Caenorhabditis elegans: one gene and its partner. The protein of the gene in region 1 interacts with the protein of each later gene in a pairwise test. Each region holds a gene or a part of one and is shown on either strand. Other genes may lie near its edges. The genes, in order: rpa-2 and C18A11.1.

What was found.
Region 2: the proteins of rpa-2 (region 1) and C18A11.1 interact in a two-hybrid assay, tested with the Caenorhabditis elegans proteins (one large-scale study listed by BioGRID).

The regions. Positions count from the first base shown.
Region 1 is NC_003279.8:4,768,091-4,771,891, reverse strand, and holds rpa-2 (Replication protein A C-terminal domain-containing protein), read right to left. Parts: upstream 1,601-3,801; 5' UTR 1,589-1,600; coding exon 1,505-1,588; intron 1,458-1,504; coding exon 1,136-1,457; intron 1,087-1,135; coding exon 626-1,086; 3' UTR 534-625; downstream 1-533. Other genes in the region: M04F3.4 (EF-hand domain-containing protein), read left to right, coding at 1-14, 211-288, 403-406.
Region 2 is NC_003284.9:8,067,355-8,070,967, forward strand, and holds C18A11.1 (Activator of Hsp90 ATPase homolog 1-like protein), read left to right. Parts: upstream 1-1,973; 5' UTR 1,974-2,302; coding exon 2,303-2,344; intron 2,345-2,481; coding exon 2,482-2,651; intron 2,652-2,696; coding exon 2,697-2,844; 3' UTR 2,845-2,935; downstream 2,936-3,613. Other genes in the region: nssp-82 (Neuropeptide-Like Protein), read left to right, coding at 334-408, 457-513, 574-669.

The DNA of each region.
Region 1 (3,801 bases):
ACTGCTGCCTTCAGGTTAGAAATCAGGGCTAAAATTGATTTAGAAATTTAGAGAAAAGCTCTTTTAAAAAATTCAAAATTTTTCAACAAAATTAAATATTACTTTAAAAATATTTTTAGATGGAACTAACTATTTTCTATGTTTCTATAGTAATTTTTGACCAAAAAATTTGGAGTATCATACTTTACAATCTGATTACTTAATTTTCAGAGACGTCGACACGGACCGCGATGGAGTCATCACCGTCGGCTACGAGCAGTTCCTGACAATGGTCTTTTCATTGAAAATGTGATTTTAAGAGTATTTAGAGAACCAACCACAATCCATTTTCGACCTAACACCTAGCACTTCTACTAGCTTCCATTCGAAAAAAAGTTAAATTCAATTTCGTTTTGTTTTCAGGTAGCTCGAAGTGTGTTCAATCGTCTGGGTTAATAATGTGATTTGCCGTTCCTCATGCTCTCTTTCCTCCTCGGATTCTTCGCATCATTAGCGTCTAATTAATTATGTTCAAATTTACTAATAAACGCTTTTAAAGTATGAATCATTCATAGTTTCGAGTATCAAAAGTGAATTTCCCAGTGGGATGAAAGAAGGATAATGAAAATAATGTTACAATCAGCAGTTAAATAGCGGAAACAGTTTCCTCGTCGACAGTGGTGTAGACCAATCCGTTCTCGACCATCTCACCGACGCACTTACGAACAATAGAAATGTTCGTTTCTTGAATTTGCTCAGCTATCCACGAAACATGTCGACCTTCGTCACGAGAACCCTCTGGCACAGCCATCAAGACGGCGGTAATGCGCTCTCTGAGCACATCTCCTTGGTTCGCTCCCGTCATCACTTTTTGCGGTTGAGCATACAATCTCTCCTTGGTGTCCGATCCTTGCGAGCTTTGATGCGATGTTTGTGACATTCTGCTCTTCGGTGGTGCCAGCATTCCTTGGAAGCCATCCGAGTCGACCGACTTCAGTTTCTCGCTCACGTTCTTTTGGAAGAACAGACGTGCAGCTTCTGCCTCGAGCTCGAAGATCGTGAAATCCTTGTCGTCTTCAACTGGAGTGATGTTGAACAGCATAATGGCTGAAATTATTTGAATTAAGATATATAATTGAAGGAAATATAAACTTACTATTGTTTCCATCGAATCCCTTGAGCTTTCCGATGGCTCGAACACGAGTTCCCTCGACAATTGAAGAATGATCGAATGTCGAACCCTCATTGTCATACTTGAGCGTACGATATTCCATCTCCGTGTTGTTTGGATCACAGAGGTCGTACGTGTACGTTGTCCCATCCTGACTGATATCCTTCACAATACCGACGGTCAACACCGTTGCGAATCGGAAAGTCCCGACGACATACTTGTCATCCTGCGCAGAAAAGTGCTCGATCAGATTGGAAATCGTGACCGGCACTGGGAGCCTCTCGCCGAGAGTTGTAGCCTTCGAGTCCTGTAAAAAATATTTATTTGAAAGTATGATTTATCTCTTATTCTTACAGGCTTTCTGTCGGTCATAAACGACGACTCTCCAGCGGCCCATCCGTTTCCTGCGTTCTCGTGCTCGACAGTCTCGTTCCACATGGTTAGTAGTTTCTGGAAAGATGAAAATAGATTAGAAATGCGAGAAAAATGAAGGAAAGAAAGGGAAGGTGAATAATTAGCGTTTATCAACAGATTCCAGAGAGACAAGATGTGTTACATATTTTAGAAACACTGAAACATAAATTTTAACTTTTTAACAGAAAAATTTAGTAAAAAACTGATATGATGTCGAAAATGGAGCTAAAATTATGCAATACTTAGTTTGAACGGCCAATTTCGCGCGTTTCTATAGAGCGCGCTTACTTCACTAGGTTTCAAAACAAAATATTCCGCGAACACAGGGAAAACCATTAAAAAGAAAAATAAATCATAAAGAATTATTTACTCAGGAATTCAGTGTACATGTATTTTTGGATAATGTGAAAAATCTGAAAGTGAAGGCCAGAAAATTTATATGAATCTAACACTAAAGCACTGGCAAGATGAAAATATAAGCGCAGGAAGTCTTAATATCACAAAAAGACAAGCAACGATAAAGTGAATGAACTAAATTTTATGAAAAAAGAAGAAAAATGAGAGTGACAGCTCACTTTTATAGTCCTTGCGTAGGAGAATCACGTGTATTCAGCTCGACCCACGGCCCGGCGGGGGGTACATGGACGAGGATTCTCTACCGTATTCCAATTTGGCTGACTGCGTGCTCAACGTTGAATACTCAGTGTAAACTTTCGTACACCGTTGCGTACTGCACAGCGCGCATTTTAATTGACGACATTTCGCGAAAATTAACAGAAGATTTTTTTCGGAATTATAGAGCTAAAATTGAAAAAACTATCAGATTTTCATCGAATTTGTGAAGAATCGTAAGTATGAAGATTTGTTCTTCACGATATTCAAGGAAAATCGATATTTGGTTTTTCACAGACAAATTCTATCGCATTTCACTCGACGAGACCCGAAGAACTCGGGGGATGTCCAACTGGGGGGATTCCCAACTCGGGGGATTGGCCACGCCCACAGAACCGTGCCTTACAATACGCCCATTTCTGCAACCTCCGCACGGTTTTGAATGATGATTTTCTTCATTGTTTTTTGGGGGAGAAAAATCAATTTCGACTCTAAAAACTTCAATTTGAATTGTTTTTCTTCGTTTTTTCAGCCATTTTCGCAAAAAAAAGTATTTTTCAACCGTGACTTGTTAATTCGCCCTCCTTAATTCGTGTATTCCTTTTGTTAATCTCTTTCCCTCTCATATTTTATTAATTTTTTTAATTTCTAGACTTCGTCGAATCGAGGGACCATCAAAATTGCACGGATGAAACAAGGATGTGCTTCTCCAGTCCACCTACGTGAGTATTATATTCTCAAATTGTAGAAAGTAGGAAAAAAAATTGATTTAAGAACAAAAATTGAAATAGTTTAACAAAAAATTAATGAAATATCTTCGGATCGAACATAGATGGACTTATACAGGCATTGAAATCGTTGAAACAGCTATAATTTGCTGTCACTGCTCTTTTGAAGTCGGAATTTCTGTATAGTGGCGGGCGATCAGTTCTTCTTCGCAATAACCATGTTCTTTTCGATTGTACGTCTCTGTGAACGTTAAAACTCCAAACCGTAGACTTCTCAATTGAATTGTGTAGAATTTTGTAATTGGTATGGTGGAAAAGACGCTAGAAATTTGATTTTTGTTCACTTTTCCGTATCCATTAAGAGAAAAGTGTACCTGTAGCATTCATTTAAGCCAAAGGCCTCTAAAAACTAAGCGAATCTGATAATAGACGAGATAAAATCTTTTTTCATTTATATATCAGCGATGTCATTATGAAAGTTCTAATTTAAATTTTTCAGATCCGCCCGAGCTGCTCATCCTCCAAATTCTTCCGTTTTCATGACAAATTATTGTTTTTTTTGTTGAAATTATGTAATTCATTAAATGTAATATTATCCTTATCTGTAAATAATTATCATGATCAATAAAATATCGCTCTTAATGTTCAATGAATAGCTTGCAAACCAATTTGTACAATTATTTCATTGAACAATTTCCGCCGGCTCTGAAAAACATTTCATGGCAATTTTTCAGGTTATCTTATTCGAATTTTTTAAATAGAACTCGTTCTACGTTCTTTACTTCGTCTCCTCTCGTGTAAATTGTTCTTTCCTTGCAAATAATCGATTTTTACGCGTCCCCTTTCCGTGTAAATTGTTGTTTCACTGCGAAAAATCGATTTTTTAAAAATATTTTT
Region 2 (3,613 bases), on another chromosome or scaffold:
TTAAAAACTTAAAATAATTTTTTAAAACATATGAATAGCTTGTGGGACATGATTTTTTATTTATGGTATTCTAATCAGATAATATGTATTTTGTGCGTAAAAAACAGAACAATGGATATTATTCGATGCACCATCCACCCACATGATATCATTTTCCTTCTTATTTCCACCCTATGTGCCACTTTGCACACCTACTTGAAAACTGGAGAACCCATTCTATTTCCCGAGAAATACTTGTTCTATTGGTCATTTTATTTTCCGGCTCACTACTTTCTTGCCGAGTTGTATAAGGTTAAAAACATCAAACCCCATTTGTAGAGCCGCATCGCCGTCATGTTCAACGTCAAACTTCTTCTCGCTTTTTTCTTGTGTGTTTTGGTAGTTGAAACTACCACAAAGGTGGTCAAGGTAAAACATAATTAGTGTTGAAATGAAAGCTAAATTCACAATTTTCAGTTTCACTCAGTTTCCTTCAATCAACCATCCTGGAGAACTTCCCAACGCTCCAGACAGGTTGGTAGATGATTTACTGTTAGTTTTCAGCTGCAGTTTTTACAGAGTCACAATTTTCAGATTCAAGGCTACGGTCCAGTGTCGGCGTTTGCTGAAAGCGGCTCCTCTCGACCACTTTTTTTCGGTTCATGGCGCAAACGCTTCGATGAGGAATAAATTTTATTCATTCGTTTCTCAAGATCTTACGTTTTCCCGTTCGTTTGTCAGTGAAAATAAAAAGTTGTTATGTGTTTTTTGTTTTTTTAAACAAGACTGAACATATTGAATTAATTTATATATAGTTGAAAAGGAAATTACATTTTTGCACACTGCAACTTCCGAACTCGCTGGTCTGCAACGGTGGCTCTTTATTCGAATAGAATAATTCAGAAGGTCATTAAAAATGTCGAGAAACGTGATCTGGTCCAAGTCACTTTTAAAGTTGGTAAAAACACTAATTGGAGGAACTAAACTAAAGAGAAAACTAGGATGTGGTATTTGAAGGAGATCATTTTCCTTTGAAAAAGAGGTCATGCATAACATTTTCATAATAATCAGGTCATACCACCCAATACGTTAAGCCAAAGAACAAATATATGTAGACAAGACTTTTCTAAATTCTGGTGCTTTGAAGAAAAAACTTTCAGGCTGAGAACATTGAAAATGCAACGAAGTTTTTTGTTGATTGTTTGTTTTGTGTTGAACGATTACCCTTGTTAAACCATAGCTAAATTTTTCAACTAGGGACTAGAGTACTTGATTACCCATAGACTGATCGCGTCTGCTCCGCGCGCATTCCAAATTTGTAAAATGTCTTTAAAAAATTCTGTGCGCGCGGATAGAACGCGATCAGAGCGCAAACTTGGCGCGGAAGAAGCTAGAAAACACGTGTCATTGGAGCGTGAACCAGTAATCTAGTCGCGCTTCAGGAGGAGCAATTTGCCGAGTAGTCACGTTGGTCGATTAAATAATAAAAAACTGAACGTTATATATATATTAATATATAAAATTTTTTTCAGGCATTTTTCTGATCTCGCTTCTTTTCAGCTTTGAATTGAGGTTTGTTTGCGGGTTTTGCTTTGTTAAGAATACATTATTAGAAAACGTCAAAAGTTTGGAAAAAAATCCGTCCAAATAGAAAATATATTTTTTTCGGATAATTTTTTAGTTTTTTGAATATTTCTTGAGATTCAAATTTCAAACTCAAATGATTTATATGTGTAAAAATAGTTTACACTTGGGTACATCATTTCTGTAGGAAAAATCTAGAATTTTCGACAAAATTTTTTTTGCATTTTTTTTGACGACCAATCAAAAAAAAACTTTTTTGGACGGATTTTTTTCCAAATTTTTGTCGTTTTCTAATAATTTATTTTAAACAAAGCAAAACCCGCACACAAACCGCAATATATTATCAAAACCTGCCAAAATGATTATTCGTGTATTTTAAGAAAATTTTTTGATAAGAGAAAAAGAAAGACACTATAGTTGGTTATTAGAGCGCTATGAGGCAAACCACTTTTCCATATGTCCGCATATCACTTTATCTTAGTCAAACTCCACACTTCTTTTGTCCCCGCGGAGCAAAACTCACTGCTTTTGTTATCGAATTTTTTTTCTCAACCCGGGAAATTTCGCAATACTTTCTGACCGAAAGGTAAACATATTGGTTGCCCATCATCACGAGTAAGAACAAAATATACGGAACCATCGTTATCGAGAACAAAATAGACTGGTTGTCTACATAAAATACGTTTTAGTCTCGTCATTCGTTTCAATTTCATCGGTTGTGTTCATACGTATTGGCAAAATGACAAAAGCCCCGATCGATTTTGAGGAAGAGTGGTGCAAGGTGAGTAGACAAACTTTTTTTTATCGATCTAATAAAATATTATCAAAAAAAAACAGACGACAAATTGTGAAATTAAAAATATCAATTGATTTTCATATTTCAATATTAAAAAAAAAAAAAGTTTTCATAATTTCCAGATTTCAAATGGAACTTTGGAAATAAAATGGTATTATTTTCCAACAACTCAAAGCTTGAAAATTGACATCGAAAAAATCCAACAAGTGAAAATTCAAAGTCAAGCTAAAAGTTATGTCAAAAACTGGGGATCCGGAGATTTGTGTGCATGGTGGGCATGTGATATGAAACGGTAAACTCAATCAATGCTACTGTTTTTTCACAGTCAAATTTTCAGCAACTTTCGCAGTCACCCAGAAGAGTTTTTCAATGTAAAAATTGACATCGGCGAAACGTTCAAAAAAGGATTCACTGTACATGAACTGGACAATTTCTTGCCTGCAATTCGAAAGTGGCTGAAAGTCCAAAATATTGTTTTTGAGTGAATTTTTTTGTGTTAATGTAAAAAATGTATGAGTTGTGTAATAAAATGTTTTGTCATCCAATATTCCAAAGTTAAATAAAAATTGTTTCAAATCCGACCAAAATGAAATTGAAACTGTCCTACCCAAATTTTTCCTTTTCACAAAAAGGTAAATCGAAAAAAGATATTTATGCATTGTCGTCTTCGTCAATTTTCAAACTTATCAATTTTCGACAGTTTCATTAACCGTCAATTTTCGTTTTATGTAAATGAAACCAATAGAATATAATTACCGATTTAATTGTATGCTTTGTATAAATGTTTAATCAGCTTACCAATTGCCTCAAAACAGTTTTTCCTTTCATTCTTTGTCCTATCTCCGTCGGTGAAAATGTTAAACTATGCGTTTCTAATTCTTTCAATAATGTCTTATTAAAACACTATTTCAAAAAACTGGGAATACGTACGAATCAACCACTTTCCAACCAACTTTATCTGCTCTCTAACCAACTTTATCCATTTTTCAACCAACTTTTGCCAACTTTTACCAATTTTCGCCAACTGTCACGAACTTTGTCCAGATGTTTAGAGCACTGTAGAAGTTTTGCCACTTCTGTGAATGTCACTTAGAAATAGGCAAAAGTTGATAGAGATTTGTTTGATACTTAACCAAGCCATATAAAAAATGAGAATGAGAATGAAACGAGAACGTGGAAATACAAATTAATCTATTATCAAAAAAAAAATTAAAAATCATTACGTGTAAACACTGTGATGGTCAAAACTCACAC